4 linked regions of the Ovis aries genome follow. The protein of the gene in region 1 interacts with the protein of each later gene in a biochemical or structural test. Links are inferred from orthologs where the notes say so. Each region holds a gene or a part of one and is shown in the gene's direction. Other genes may lie near its edges. The genes, in order: FGFR1, NCAM1, FGF8 and FGF6.

What was found.
Region 2: the proteins of FGFR1 (region 1) and NCAM1 form a complex in vitro, tested with the Homo sapiens proteins (2 studies listed by BioGRID and IntAct). The link is inferred for Ovis aries from reciprocal best matches to the Homo sapiens genes FGFR1 and NCAM1.
Region 3: the proteins of FGFR1 (region 1) and FGF8 interact in a biophysical measurement, tested with the Homo sapiens proteins (2 studies listed by BioGRID and IntAct, with this or other methods). The link is inferred for Ovis aries from reciprocal best matches to the Homo sapiens genes FGFR1 and FGF8.
Region 4: the proteins of FGFR1 (region 1) and FGF6 interact in a biophysical measurement, tested with the Homo sapiens proteins (2 studies listed by BioGRID and IntAct, with this or other methods). The link is inferred for Ovis aries from reciprocal best matches to the Homo sapiens genes FGFR1 and FGF6.

Annotation. Positions count from the first base shown.
Region 1 is NC_056079.1:32,638,961-32,642,521, reverse strand, and holds part of FGFR1 (fibroblast growth factor receptor 1), read left to right. Parts: coding exon 1-89; intron 90-251; coding exon 252-357; intron 358-489; coding exon 490-666; 3' UTR 667-3,561. UniProt on the Homo sapiens protein: Tyrosine-protein kinase that acts as a cell-surface receptor for fibroblast growth factors and plays an essential role in the regulation of embryonic development, cell proliferation, differentiation and migration.
Region 2 is NC_056068.1:23,481,070-23,484,630, forward strand, and holds part of NCAM1 (neural cell adhesion molecule 1), read left to right. Parts: intron 1-72; coding exon 73-257; intron 258-802; coding exon 803-899; intron 900-1,210; coding exon 1,211-1,381; intron 1,382-3,385; coding exon 3,386-3,517; intron 3,518-3,561.
Region 3 is NC_056075.1:22,294,028-22,298,262, reverse strand, and holds the start of FGF8 (fibroblast growth factor 8), read left to right. Parts: upstream 1-1,393; 5' UTR 1,394-2,112; coding exon 2,113-2,482; intron 2,483-4,235. UniProt on the Homo sapiens protein: Plays an important role in the regulation of embryonic development, cell proliferation, cell differentiation and cell migration. Required for normal brain, eye, ear and limb development during embryogenesis.
Region 4 is NC_056056.1:211,494,729-211,498,780, forward strand, and holds the start of FGF6 (fibroblast growth factor 6), read left to right. Parts: upstream 1-1,207; 5' UTR 1,208-1,456; coding exon 1,457-1,802; intron 1,803-2,752; coding exon 2,753-2,856; intron 2,857-4,052. UniProt on the Homo sapiens protein: Plays an important role in the regulation of cell proliferation, cell differentiation, angiogenesis and myogenesis, and is required for normal muscle regeneration.

The DNA of each region.
Region 1 (3,561 bases):
CCATACCCTGGGGTCCCCGTGGAGGAGCTTTTCAAGCTGCTGAAGGAGGGTCATCGTATGGACAAGCCCAGTAACTGCACCAACGAGCTGTAAGCCTGAGAAAAGATGCCTGGGGTCCTGGGCTGGGCCCTGGGGGTGGGCTGGGCTCGGGGCGTAGAGGGAGGAGTAGGAGGCGCGCAGCCAGCCGCCCGCGGCCCATCCACCCTGAGCCTGTCCTCTCCCCCCACCCCGACCTCGCCATCCTGCCCCAGCTACATGATGATGAGAGACTGCTGGCACGCAGTCCCCTCTCAGAGACCCACCTTCAAGCAGCTGGTGGAAGACCTGGACCGCATCGTGGCCTTGACCTCCAACCAGGTGAGGCGGCCCTTCCCAGATCCTGTGTGCCGACCGGCCCGAATTCTCGCGGGATTCTAGTTCTCGCGGAATGAATCCTACCGCCGCGGGAAGCAGAGTGCGGGTCTTGCATCTTTTTGTCTCCGCCCTCAGGAGTACCTGGACCTGTCAATGCCCCTGGACCAATATTCCCCCAGCTTCCCCGACACCCGAAGCTCCACCTGCTCCTCCGGGGAGGATTCCGTCTTCTCTCACGAGCCCTTGCCCGAGGAACCCTGCCTGCCCCGACACCAGGCCCAGCTGGCCAACGGCGGACTCAAACGGCGCTGACTGGCCCCATACCCCGCACCCCTCCCCGGACTCCATCCTCAACTGTGGCCCCGCCCCTCCTCCCGCTGGACTCGCTGCCTCCCCTGCGCTCTGCTGGCCGGCCTCCCTGAGGCCCGCACGCCCGAGCTCCCCTCCTCTCCTCCTCACAGCCTGACAGAGGAGCAGGGAGGCCGGTCCTTGCTGACGGCTACTACGTGGCCTGCCAAACGTTGGACCAAGACCCCCCCACTGCCGCCTGGAGGGTCGGGCAGTGGGGGCCGAGCCGCCCTCGAGCGAGAGCCGACTTAGCTCTCCTGCATTGGTTTTGCCTGCTCTGCACAGCCCATGTGCCCGTGTTTTGGTGGCAGGTCCTCGGGCTACAGCGGGAGTTGCGTGTAGAGGTGGTCAGCGCTCGGGCCTCCGCAGAAGGCGACCTCTGTTCCAGACGGATAGTGCCAGTGGCTTATTGATTCCGATACTAATTTGCTTTTATGACCAAATACCTGGTACCCGAGGGTGGGGACGCAGAGGCCGGGAGCCGGCGGCGTGGCCCTGGGGCCCAGCCCCAAAGCAGGGGCTCTGTACATAGCTACGAAGAAAACACAAAGTGTATAAATCTGAGTATATATTTACATGTCTTTTTAAAAGGGTCGTTACCAGAGATTTACCCATTGGGTAAGATGCTCCTGGTGGTTGGGAGGCATCAGTTGCTATATATTAAAAAAAAAAAAAAAAAAGAAAATGTTTTTAAAAAGGTCATATATTTTTTGCTACTTTTGCTGTTTTATTTTTTTAAATTATGTTCTAAACCTATTTTCAGTTTAGGTCCCTCAATAAAAATTGCTGCTGCTTCAATTTTATACGGGCTGTGTGACACGGGAGAGGAGGCCGACTGTGAAGGAGCGAGGCTGCCGGGCTCTGGGGCTGGCTGTCCCAAGGTCTCTTCCCCATGGGTCCTTCTCCGAGGCCTCAGGACAGCCCTCCTTCCTCTGCCGGGCCTTGGGAAAGAAGGCAGGTAGGGGTCACTGGGCCCAGGGCCAGGCCCCACCGCCCCCTCCACCATACGTTTCCCTGGGGGGAATGTGGAGCCTCTGGGGTCTGAGAGTCAGACAGGGAGCTGAGGGCCCAGCTCCGAAGAGCCAGGAGTGGGGCTGAAGTGATGAAGAGGCAGGTCATGGATGGTTTGACCCTGGGCGGCAGGTACTCAGACCTAGGAGAGTGGCTGCTCCTCTGTGTGGGTATGGTTCTGCCTGTGCTTCTGTGTCAGGGAGGACCTGTTACCTAAGACCAGCTTTACACCCAGGGCCCTGGCTTCAGGTTTCTTGTCTCCCAGGCTATTCTGCCTACCTACCCCCACCCCCGCCAATACCATTCTGAATTCGAGTGATCAGACCGCGTGTGCTAGGGCTAGCACTTGGCCTCCTCCAGTTCTTCCCACAGGAACTCTACCCCAGCCCTAAGGAAAAGGAAGACATTCTGTGAAGGTGCATTTTGGCTGCTGGGGAATTTTCTTCCTCTGCCACCTGCTGGTTATCTCTCCCCCCACCAAGTAGGTGCCGGCTCCTTGGAACCTTAGGGCTCAGGCTGTTGGTTCACAGCCTCTGCCCCCAAAGCTTGCCCTTTGCCGGATCCCTTCTAAGTATAAAAGCAAGTCCAGTTTCGTTTGGGAAGAATGGGGTTGCTCCTGAAGTTTCCTTTCTGAGCTGTTTCTTGGCCCCTTCTAGTGTTGGCTCATTATAAAGTTCTGTTTTCTGCTGAGTAGCTCTGTGAATATGCAACTATCAACATACTCTGATATGTGTTCACGTTTAAGGAGGGCATATACTAGTGAAGAACAGAATCAGGAAATGAACTTTAGCTTTTAAAACCATTTGTGGGACAGCTTGTAGTGGCACCTTTCCTTGTAAAATACTGATGATAGTTTGGGCCCAGGGTCGTGTGAATGGATGGTCACTCTTTCACAAAGGGCTTTGCGTGCCTTCAGTAGAGGCAGTGGGACACAGCTCACTGTTGCTGTAACAGTGATGTCCTTGCTATTACTACTCTAATCACCCATGAATTTCCCGAGAGACTGAGCTGTCAAATCAAAGATAGTGAAATTGACCTGAGAGAAAATGAAATGGCCATTTTACTTAGCTGACCAGATTGGGTCTCTTGAGGAAAGAGATCCAGTTTATCTAATGAAGATGTCATCCTGTCAAGGCACTGAGTCTGTCTGGTTTCCTGAGGGTTAAAAGATGAGGGCCGGAGCATCGGTCGATACCACCTTCCCACCCTTTCTAATTGCCACAGGCCAGGGGTCACCAGTCCCCCGGCACCGCTAATGTACTATATTGATCTCAGGTAAGTAAGATTGAATCATGGCTGAAGGAAATTTATCTCCATGACAGTGAAGTCGCTGTGTTTCTCACAGCCGCCACTGGGGGGAGCCAGCGGGCCAGAACCCTGGGCAAAAGGAAGGTGTCGATCAGCGTTAAAGTTCCGTTAGTCTGACCCTACCTACTGGTGTGCACTGGTGGTGACAAGGAGATCTTTAGGTTTTAACACTATAGAGCATTTATTCGATATCACCGTTGCGACCTGTAATGACTGAAACACAGAATTAGTCACAGCACAGGTGCAGGTCCATACGTGCCAAGCCACCAACACCTTTCTGTTGAAGCAGAATTCTCAGGGTGTGAGATGGGCCAAGTCTGACATCACCACCGGGGTTGGGCTTTAGAAAATGCCTAAAATTATACTCGGTGAGATTATTAGCAGCTGGTGCAGCCACAGAAGATGCATTTGTGGGGAAGAGTAGAGAGCAGGGCAAGGAGACAGGCTTCCACTCAGCTGTTGGGAGGCAGGTGGGCAGGGACCCAAGCACTGGGGCAAGTTCTCTCTAGGTTGGCACTTAACAGTATTTAGGGCCATTTA
Region 2 (3,561 bases), on another chromosome or scaffold:
GGGCCAGGAGCCTGAGTGTGGGGGACTCTGCGATCACGGCGGTCTTTCTGGAGCCGCTGTCCTTCTTTGCAGATGCCCCCAAGCTGCAGGGCCCTGTGGCTGTGTACACTTGGGAGGGGAACCAGGTGAACATCACCTGCGAGGTGTTTGCCTACCCCAGTGCCACTATCTCATGGTTCCGAGACGGTCAGCTGCTGCCCAGCTCCAACTACAGCAACATCAAGATCTACAACACCCCATCGGCCAGCTACCTGGAGGTGAGGTGGTGTGGGGGCAGGGGTGCGGTGCAGGAGGCGTGGTCCAAGTGTGGACAGGCTGCTGGGTACAGCTGATATCCTCCCCCTCGCTTCTCTGACTCATCCTGCGCAGTGGAGCCATTGGTTGGGGAAGAAAGCCAGCCTCAGCTTGCCCCTTTATCTCGAGGAGCCAGATCAGGGCCTGGAGGGGAGCAGAGTGTTCCTTCCTCATGAGACCCCTTTTCTATTATTTAATATTTTTTTACTGAAGCATAGTTGATTTGCAGTGTTGTGCCCATCTCTGCTGTGCAGCATCACGACTCAGTCATACACAGAGATGCGTTCTTCTTTATTATCGTCTTTCCCATTATAGTTTATCCCAGGAAATTGGATGGAGTTCCCTGTGCTGTACCTTGTCATTTATCCATTCTGTATGTAACAGTTTGCATCTACAAGCTCTATGAGCTGGAGCTTTACTGATTCTACTCTTAGTTCAGTAAATAAGGATCTGAGGTTGCAGCCATTCCGTGGGACACTTATAACCCAAGCGTTCCTTCTCTCTAAAGGTGACCCCAGACTCTGAAAATGATTTTGGAAACTACAACTGTACCGCAGTGAACCGCATCGGACAGGAGTCTTTGGAATTCATCCTTGTCCAAGCAGGTGAGTGCCCCTTCCAGCTATACCAGCCTCACTCTGGCTGGTCCATTTCATGACCTTCTGTGATGACAGAATGTGGGAAGAAGGGGGAGTAAGGGTCAGCAACCAAAGGGTAAGGAGGCTGAGAGGTAAGGGGGCTTAAGGATCTGGACATGGGGTATGTTGGGAGAGAATTATTTGCTGGGGTGGACCAGGAAGACAGAATACAAATGACAAGATTTGCAGGAGTTAAAGAGAGTCATGTTTCATGATTGAATGTTACATCCTGGGCCAAATCCGGCTGACCTGGGTCTCCATCTGTGTCTTCCCCACAGACACCCCATCCTCACCGTCCATCGACCAGGTGGAGCCATACTCTAGCACAGCACAGGTGCAGTTTGATGAGCCAGAGGCCACAGGCGGGGTGCCCATCCTCAAATACAAAGCTGAGTGGAGAGCGATGGGCGAGGAGGTGTGGCACTCCAGGTGGTACGATGCCAAGGAAGGTGAGCTGCAGAGTCGGAATTTACTTGGGAATGATGTCTCTGGGCACACACACCCCTGCCTTGAGTTCACCAGATCCTGGCTTCTGACATGACACCCCCCAACTGGGGAATGCCAGATGCCACCGCCTGCCGTCCCGCTGATGTCTAGGCTGTGGTCACGTCTCATGAGAGACTTGGCCTTCTGCCACCCCAGCACTTCAGAACCTGGTTCTCAGGTGACTGTGCCAGGGCGGATGAGGCCGGCTCAGCTGCATTCCAAGCAGAAGCCCTGCTTAAGTGCTGGGCACAACCCAGAGGAGTCCTGTCTACCCTGCTCTGTGTATTTGGCCTCCATGTGCGTCAGCCATCCTGTCCTGCTTGTGTGTATTCAGGGATTGCCGTGTAATTAGGACATTAACCTAATCAGCAGAGCCAGCGAGACAGCTCTTTTAAATCAGTTCTATGATATACTTCCAAAGATTTGAAAAATGACCCTTGCACGACTGCAGTTTGAAGTTTCTGAGCTCAGCTCATCTTGCCCTGAGGATTGAATGTGTTTACGTCTGACTCTCCCTTTGAGGTTTAATTGGAATAAGTCAGTGAAGTAAGTTTTGTTTCCGTAGAAATTTTTAATCCCAGAAACGAGGGGAGAGCTGAGAATGGATTGGATTAACATGCAGTGTCACAGCAATTCAGAGACATCCTCCAACTCAGTTTTACTGAGAACTCATCCTTCCAGGAAGCAGGCTCCCATCACTCCAGCTTTGGGGAGGGCTAGGAGGACTTTCGGCATAATCAGGATTAGAACTAGAAGAAAATCATCCTTCACCTCCCTGACATCCCTCTGAAACCTCATACCAACTTTGTGGCAGGTTAATCCCATGTCCAACAGACTTTTTGTTTCCCAGTTAACTTTTTTAATGTAGTAAGATATATATAGCATGAGCTTCCCAGCTGGCACTAGTGGTAAAGAATCCACCTGCCAATGCAGGAGACACGGGTTCGATCCCTGGGTCAGAAAGATCCCCGGGAAGAGGAAATGGCAACCCACTCCAGTATTCTTGCCTGGAGAATCCCGTGGACACAGGACACTGGTGGGCTATAATCTGTGGGGTCACAAAATTCGGACATGACTTGAGTGAGCACCATATACAACATAAAAATTATTATTTTAACCATTTTTTAGTGTTCACAGTTCAGTGGCATTAAATCATTATGCGGTCACCACTGTCCGTCTCCAGAACTTTTTCATCCTAAAGTCAATACCCATTAAATAACAACTCCCCATTCCCTCCTGCCCCAGCCCCTGGCAGCCACCCTTCTCTATAGAGTTGACTCTTGATGTTGTTGTTTAGTCTCCGAGTCATGTCTGAATCTTTTGCAACCCTCTGGACTGTAGCCCGCCAGGCTCCTCTGTCCATGGGATTTCCCAGGCAAGAATACTGGAGTGAGTTGCCATTTCCTCCTCCAGGAGATCTTCCTGACCCAGGGATCAAACCTGCATCCCCTGCTTCTCCTGCAGTGGCAGACAATTCTTTCCCACTGCGTCACCATGGAAGCCCATAGTTGACTATTAATAGTCTCTATATGGTTGACTATTCTAGGTCCTTCATATAAGTGGAATGATATAGTATTTGTCCTTTTGTATCTGTCCTATCTCAGTTAGCGTGATGTCCTCAAGGTTCATCCCCGTCGTAGTGCATCAGAATGGCATGCCTTTTTAGAACTGGACAATACTCCACTGTGTGGAAGACCACGTTCTGTTTCTGCATTCATCTGTCGGGGGACATTTGGGTTGTTTCCACAGTTCAGCTGTTGTAAACAAGACGGCTGTGAATGTTTGTACAGATATCTGTTCCAGTCCCTGCTTCCAGCCCTTTGGTACATAGATCCAGAACTGGACCTGCTGGATCGAATTCTACCTTTAATCGCAGAGGGATTTGCCGTCCTGTTTTCCGCAGCAGCTGCACTATTTCACCAATAGGCATTTCCCCCTTTGTGACCCTTTACATGTTCTCACAACAGCCAGCCTGGAGGGCATCGTCACCATCGTGGGCCTCAAGCCTGAGACGACGTACGCAGTCCGGCTGGCAGCCCTCAACGGCAAGGGCCTGGGCGAGATCAGCGCCGCCTCCGAGTTCAAGACGCAGCCAGTCCGTAAGTATAGCCTGCTGCCCGGCTCATCCCTTTGGGGTGGGGGG
Region 3 (4,235 bases), on another chromosome or scaffold:
GACAACTCACTACCTTCTTTGATACTTCCCCCTCCCCCAGGGTTGACAAAGCACCAGTCCAGGTTTAGCACACAGTAGGTGTGTAAATACCTGTTCAGTGCACAAATAATGGGAGTCTGAGCGAAAAAGACTAGGCAACCTGGATCTAAGCCTCTTTCCTGGAAAAGCAGCTGAGGTTATTTTTGCGCCCACTGCCTGCCGCTTTGGGGAGGGCATGGTGGTGGCAAGTGACTGGGGTTTTCCCTATGGGTGGGCTCTCTCCTTTTTGGGTGGTGTAGTCAGGCTTCAGTCTAGCGTGTTGGGGGCGGGAGGGACAGGAGCAGGGGTGATGGTGATAATGAGGGCAGGAAGCAGGAAAGGAGATGTTTCTCGATCTCAGGGCCTTCTTGGTGACTGAGCGATGCAGGAGAGACCGGCAAGGCAGGGTACTCAGCAGAAAGATGGGGGTGGTTGTCGGCTCCCGGTCTCACAGGCGCGCACTGCCAGAGGAAAGCGCACAAGCGTTCACCCCAGTGTTGGAGGCTACTTGCAGGCGGCAGCCCCAGACAGACAAAGCACACAGTAGGTGGCTCAGAGAACCGCTGTCTAGCTTGAGGCTTAAGCGGACCGGGTCCCACGGTGGAGACCGGGCGCCTTCCCACTCGGGCGCCCGGGGGGTCCAGGAAGCCCCAGCAGAGGGTCTCGGGACTCCACAGGGTGGGCGGCCCGATGCGCCCCCATCCCCGCACGCCTGGACCCCAAGAACGCGCAAGGGGACAAGTCCGGGATGCGGAGAGGGGCCCAGACAGGCAGCCCTCGCCCCTTGCAGCGGGTCCCCAGACCCCTCCCCTCACCCAGACCCCCAATCCCCGACCCTCCGACCGCCCCGCCCCGGTCCGCCCCGCCCCCGCCCCGGGCTGCGTCCGGGCCCCCGCTCCCAGCCGGGGGCTGCGGGCTCCGGCCGCCCGCCCCGCGCTCCCCCCTCGCGCCCGGTGCGGCGCCCCCCGCCCCCACCCCTCCCCCTCCCTTCCCACTTACCCACCCCCCCTGCCGGCCCGTTACCCTCCCTCCCGCTCCGGCTCCTCAGCAGCCAGCGGCCAACGGCTCCGGCTGCGGCGCAGAGGCACTCGGCGCGGCGCGGCGAGCTCGACATTCCCTGGGACCCGCGGAGCTGCGTCCCGATCGCCCCGGCTCCCGGCCTCGAGCCACCCTCGAGCCCCCCTCCGCCGCCGCCGCCCTCGGCTCGTCGGTCCGCTGCCTCCCGCGAGCCGGCGAGATCCCGCCGGGGCTGTGGGTGCTCCCCGGCCGCGCGCCATGGGCAGCCCCCGCTCGGCGCTGAGCTGCCTGTGAGTACCGCCGTCCCGCGCCCCCGGCCGCGCGCCCGCCGGCCCGCCCGCCACTCACCCCGCGCCCCTCTCTCCCCGCCCGCTTTTGTCTCCCACAGGCTGTTGCACTTGCTGGTTCTCTGCCTCCAAGCCCAGGTAAGGCGCACTGCGCCGGGGCCGGCGGGGCACGCCGGGGGGCGAGGTCGGGCAGGCGGGGGCAAGAGGACCGACCCCGCGGCCGCGCGGCGGGCTGGAAGTGCTGGGAAGCATCTTAGAACAGCAACCCCTAACTATCCCGAGGAGGGGTTAAGGACCAGAGAGGTAGCGCCGGCCTCAGGTCACACAGCCTGTGAGCCGCGCGAGGCTAGAACCCGAGGTTTCGGAGTCCGGCGCTGTCTCCCACGCCTCCCAGCCCGGTGGGGGTGGTTGGGGAACTCGGCGGCAGCCAGTCCCGGCCGCGCCGAGGAAGGGGGCATTCGGGGCAGGGGGCGTTCGATGTCAGAGGTCCGGTGACGGCCTCAGGGACCCTCTCCGCGGCTCTCTGGAGAGACTTGCGGCGGGTCTGGCCGAAAGACCAGGTGCCCAGGGCTTCTGCGGTCTCCACATTTGCTCCGTGAATTTGTCTTTATAAATGTCAGGGGTCGGGCCGCGCTGCCTCCCGACTTAAAAGCGCCCTGCTCTTCTAGGAAGGCCCGGGCGGGGGGCCTGCGTTGGGCAGGGAGCTCGCTTCCCTGTTCCGAGCTGGCCGGGAGTCCCAGGGTGTTTCCCAACAGGTGGGTCCAGATCCTTCCCCATCCCGGGCGCATCCATGCTAGACTGGGTCTGTCCGACTTTCCTGGGTAGGGTGGGGGTGGTCCGAACTGGCATGTTGGGGGGACCCCAGCCCCTGCCGGCTGCCTGGGGCAGTGGAGGGAGGTGCCGGGTGATGGGGGCCACTCGGGCCCCTGGGCAGGGTAGCATTATAATGGCGTGTTGTGTATTTTTCAATTTCCTAAAGGTAACTGTTCAGTCCTCACCTAATTTTACACAGCATGTGAGGGAGCAGAGCCTGGTGACAGATCAGCTCAGCCGCCGTCTCATCCGGACCTACCAACTCTACAGCCGCACCAGCGGGAAGCACGTGCAGGTCCTGGCCAACAAGCGCATCAACGCCATGGCAGAAGACGGGGACCCCTTCGGTAAGGAGCTGCACTGCGCTGGGGTTAAGGTAGCCTGCGGAGCACGCCCCTCCTCCCCAGGCTGGCCTGCTGTGACGGGACCCAGCAGTCGCATCTGCGCGCTGAGCTGAGGCCTGTAGGCTCCCCAGCTCAGAAGGGAAGGAGTTAAGCCGACAAACATCTTGGGGGTCAGCTGGAGAAGAGAGGGCTGGGGAAGGGACCCTGGGGAGTACTTGGCCCATAGGTGCCCTTTCCCTGCCCAGCAGATGAATGAATCCAGGAATCTCCCTTTCCACCTCCCCCTCTCATACCCCTCCCCACTGCAGGTGGAGGCAGAGGGTTCAGGGGGAGGGGGCCCAGGTTTAAGGGAAGCTCTTGAAAGAGGATATGTCACCAGGGCCCACAAAAGGAGAGTGGGAAAGAGAAGGGAGAGAAATCCCCTCAACTCTCCCAGGTTGGGGGGGGGGGCGGTGTACTGTGAACCTTAAATACTTTGATCAGGAGGGTCAATTACACATGGGGACTAGGCTAGGAAAGGGGCCTTCCCCACTTCACTTGTCCAGGAACCCAGGCGGTCGGTCAGAGCGGGGCTCCTGGCTCCCGGTGGGGTGGTGAGTACAGGGAGCTACTGTGGGGTGGAGAGGCTGAGGACTGATTGATTTCTAAAACATTCAATATTCCTGCCTTGAAACAAGGCCAATTTCCAGAGTCCTGGATGTACCAAGAGAAAAGCAAGTCCTCTGGGCGGCTGGTGTTGTTTTTAGAGAGCGATTATTGTGAGTTTAAAAACCTTTAAATAATGACCAAGTTAAACAAGCATGAAAGGAGAGGGGAAGACTCTATTAAAATGTAATAAAAAGGTGAAGCATTTTAAGAGCTAAGAAGAAAAATGAAGAATGATATAAAACAGAAAAAGAACGAGCCTTTTTTTCAGATGTGGAGTTTGAAAGGAGTTGCAAGTCTGTAAATGTTAAAAAAGAGGTTCAAGATTGTTCTCTATGAATCTCTGGAGAGACCCCCGCGTCTGGCAGAGCGATTAAAACTCTTCTTACTTTCACCTTTTTTAACATTTCCTGAATACTTTCTCCTCTTCTCGAGCCAGTTTGGGGGATCGAGTATGTCTCGCTGCATTTTTTCTGCATCGACGTAGCTGACTTCCCTTCAAAGCTGGAGAAGGAGACATAATTTTCCTGGGATAAATCTGTCACTGGGGTGGAAGAATAGGTTTGAAAATGTTAAGCTTTCCAAAAGCCCGGTCGGGAAAGCCGCTGTAAACTGCTGCCCCAGCTCCCCAGCTCCATCCAGGAAGGAGAGTGGGGGCTTTCTGCAGTGGGGGTGGGGGTGGGGGTGGCCTGCCCGGTGGCCGAGCTCCCCTGCTGGGCTGGTAGGGCCAGCCTGCCGCCCCTTTGTCCCTTCAAACTGGCTGCTCGTTGCCCTTCTCAGCTTCCAAGGAAAGGGAATGAATGCCTGGCCCCTCCTGGGTTTGCTCCATTGGAGCAAATGGTCCAGCATCCTCGGGGTTTGGGGAGCGAAGAAGAAGAAGCTAAGCTGGTCATGGGGGGATTCATCTTCAGACATCAGAGGTCTGATGCCCACTTCTCTTCTTACAGTTATAGGAGGCTTCCCAGGTTCCCTGGTCCCTGCCTGGTGGGCAGGAGCAGGAGCTGGAGGGCCCAAGAGCAGAGGCTTAGGGTGTATAGCCAGGACAGGTAGAATCTGGGGGAGAATGGCAGAGAAGTCCCAGGGGCTTCCTTATGGGTCCCAGGAAGGGACA
Region 4 (4,052 bases), on another chromosome or scaffold:
CCTATTCCCCACACTTTACCAGATGAAAGTAATCACAGAAGACCGCTGGGCTTCAAGGATTCTGAGAGGACAAAACGGACATGCAAGGCTTGGCGAAACTTCTAACCAAAGCGTCATCCAGGTGAACTAAGCTGCAGGGCAGAAGGCAGGTGGACGCCACGGACTGGAGGTGGGGACCCAGGCCAAGGCTGGAGCTTACAGTTGGAGGGGAATGCATGCAGTCTCAGCGAAGGCCCTGGGCAGCAGGCCTCCTCCTAGAAGCCTTCCCCACACTGCCCGCACGCTCCACTGTGAGTGAGTGCTATTGAAATGGTTCTATGAGGTACCCTTGGCCTAGAGCAAGCTCACTCAATTCATGGAAATCTCACTTCTATGACAGGCGTCATGCAGAGGTTGCAAGCACTGGGTTTGGGCTTTGGCCACCTTTATATGTTCTGGCTTTGCAGCTTACTAGCTGTCATCATTTGGGCAAGTCACTTAAGCTTGCCCCCTGCCTCAACCTCCTCATCTTTGAAATGGGAATGAGAGCAGTCAGGTGGCCAAGGGTGAACCCCAGTAGGAAAAGGGCTGGTGACTCTGTCCAGGGCTGGACGCAGCTCCTACCCTCTGGCTGGTTGCACGCCAGGACCTGTGTGGAGAACAGAAGCCCAACCCTAGCCCCACCTCCCTCCACAATCCTCAAGACATTTGGAGACCCCCTGTCCAATCCCTGTTCTCTCTTGCTAAAGGGGTGCAGCCTTCCAGCATCCTCCCAGCCTCGGTGGCCTTAACTATGAGCTCTTTCCATGAACAGGGTGACTCAAGGGCCCCAGTCATCACCCGCCACCACGCCTCCCCCATCCCTGGCTTTACCCTTTGCCCTCTAAATAAGGAAGCCAGCGCTGCCAGGCCAAGGACTTCTGCCCAATTTGGGTCCTGGGTGGCCTCTCGCCTCCCTCTTCCCCTGGGCCCCCAGCCAACTCCCCCTCCCTCAGAGATGCGCCCTGCTCACTTCATTCCTGCCTCATAGTTGGAATGACAACAGCTCTCAGAATCTGTGGGGTGTGTGTGTGGGGGGGGTGCCGGGGGTCTGGGGAGGCAGCCAGGCCGTGGAGCAGGTTAATGTTACAGCCCTGGATAAGTGAGCTGGGCCACTTGACGTCAGGGTGATGATGGGTGGCAGGGAGGGCCAAGCGGCTGAACTATAAAGACAAGTCCAATCCGATATAATCAACTCGGGTCGGAGTGAGCGGGCCAGCCAGGCAGCGTCCCCAAGCCATGGTCCCTACCGGCCGCGGCTCAGCCTGGGTCCCTCTGCTCCAGACCCAAGTGCCCAAAGCCGGCTTTGGTTTCATGTCAGCAGCCTTCAACTGCCTTCCAAAAATAAGCCCCTGCCGCCATGCCGAGGGGAGAAAAACAAGAAGGGCGGTATTTTTAGGGCCATTAATTCTGACCACGTGCCTGAGAGGCAAGGTGGATGGCCCGGGGACAGACGCTGCTCATCACTATGTCCCGGGGAGCAGGACGTCCGCAGGGCACGCTGTGGGCTCTCGTCTTCCTCGGCGTCCTAGTGGGCATGGTGGTGCCCTCTCCCGCAGGCACCCGAGCCAACGGCACGCTGCTGGCCTCAAGGGGCTGGGGCACCCTGCTGTCCAGGTCTCGGGCCGGGCTGGCCGGAGAGATCGCAGGCGTGAACTGGGAGAGTGGCTATTTGGTGGGGATCAAGAGGCAGCGGAGGCTGTACTGCAACGTGGGCATCGGCTTCCACCTTCAGGTGCCCCCCGACGGCCGGATCAGCGGGACCCACGAGGAGAACCCCTACAGTGAGTGCCATCTGCAGCCAGTTGGGGAAGCCAGGGGATGGGACTCCAGCAGGTCTCTGGTGCCTGGGGTCCTATGATGAAGGGGGAAGGAGGATTCTCCACCTGGGTGCCCACTAGCCTAGCCACCTCCCCCAACTCGCTTTGCTCCTGCAGGGTGCATAGGCTGAGGTCTGAGCATCCTCTGCCACCCGCCCATGGAGCCCCTGCGGCATCAATTCCTTCAGTATTTCAGGCACAGCCATGGCCTCAGAGAACCACCAGGAACCCCCAGCCAGGGGGAGCCACAAAATGAGGGTGGAGAGAACCGGCAAGGATGCTTAGATCAGATTAGATATGAGCTGCTTTTTATTTCACTTCCCTCTTTGAGAGGAAAGGCAAATCATTTGCAAAATTTCCAGCTGCAGCTTGTCCTTCTTTCTAGTTCAGCTTGCCCCCACCCCCCATGCCCGCCCTACAAGTTGGTGGGTTGCTGTCTAGATGGGCTAGCCCCAGGAGGGGATGGGGCTGGAGGATCCAGGGCAGCCGTCAGACTCTGTGTGGCTGCAGTGTTTGCAAGATTAGATAGGCTGAAATGTGTTGAAATGCGAGGAGACATTTTAAACAAAGCTAATCAGAAATTACTTTTTTTTTAATCCACGTCAAGGACCTCGTGTGATTAAGCCCAGATTCGAAGCTACTCTTAGGTAGATGCCCAGGTGGCCACTGGGATCTCTAACTCCAGTGTCAGAACTTCCCCCTTGCAGAACTTGATTGTTAACAGTTCAGTAAAATGGCCCAAGCTGACAACTCAGCTTCCAAAGTGAGATCAGGGTGGAGGCAATAGAAGGCCTGACTTTCTAGAAGCAGGAGGGTGGGCCTAGATGCCCTTTGTAGGGGGGGTCACCTTTAGCTTGACATCCCACTCTGCTTTGCGCAATCCTGGGGTAACACAGCCCCTGTCTCTTTGGCAGGCCTGCTGGAGATTTCCACAGTGGAGAGAGGTGTGGTGAGCCTCTTTGGGGTGAAGAGCGCCCTCTTCGTCGCCATGAACAGTAAAGGAAAATTATACGCCACGGTGAGTCCATCAGGCCAGGGGAAGCTTCCGGCTGCACGAGGCCTGCCTGTGTGCTCAGTTGCTCAGTCGTGTCTGGCAGGCTTCTCTGTCCACGGGATTCTCCAGGCTGGAGTGAGTTGCCATTTCCTCCTCCAGGGGATCTTCCAGACTCGGGGATTGAACCTGCACCTCCTGTATTAGCAGGTGGACTCTTTACCACTGAGCCACCTAGGAAGCCCCTGCATGAGGCCTGAAGAGTGTGCAGTTGAAGAAAGTAATGCAAACTCTTGAGCAGAGATGTGCATATTCATCTAGAAGGAGGAGGGGGGCTGTGGGAGGAGCCGGTGCGAGTAAGGTGCTTGCAGCTCTGTGCTGGATCGTGTTTTTCTTGATCCCACCTGTTGGAGCCTTGTAGCAAGAAAGGAACCGTAGCTCAGAGGGCTATAGGGTCCAAGGGAAGCCAGAGCTCTGCATAAAGCTGCTGTCCAAGCTTACGGTCAGGCCCTGAGCTGGAGAGGCCCAGAGAAGCAGGCTTTGTTTCAGCCTAGACATGCTGCTCCCATGAGCCACCCTCCAGCCACAAGCACAGCCCGGGAAGAAGAAATGAAGCGCTTTTCCTCACCTTTATCAGTGTGTGGACATCTCACTTTAAGGTTTTAAGCCCTCTGACCTCTGATCCCAGCTGCCAAAGAACCATGCCTCCCACTGTACCCCCTTAGCTGGCACCAGCCTCCACCTCTGCCTTCTCCCATCACCCGTCACGGCTGGTGGGGGCAATGCTAGCACTTGGGTTAACCTCCCCAACTTCCACGTTTCCCCACTTCTCTGCTCTCTCTGACCCCTTCCTTCCTGGGTCTCCCAGCCCATAATTTTGGCATATTCCAAAACGTGGAAGGGGAAAGCATTCCTATGAAGGCAGAGACCCTGGGAGTTCTCGCGACTGAAATAAGAAGGCTAAAAAGGAAGACCTGTGAGCCATGGCCGAGGAATAGCAGAGTGACTATTTCTGGGGAGGGCGTGGAGGGCCGTTCTACCCCTGCGTGGGGACAGACGGGAGCAGGAAGTGAAAGCGGAGGCTCTGGTACCCGGGGCCGGCATCCAGGGAGGCTGTCCCAGCAGACCAGGGCTGTGAAATGCCCGAAGCGGGAGCCCAGGTGGCCTCGGCCTGTGATCTGCAGCGCTAGCACCTCTCTGTCTGTGTTGGTTTGTGTGACGAC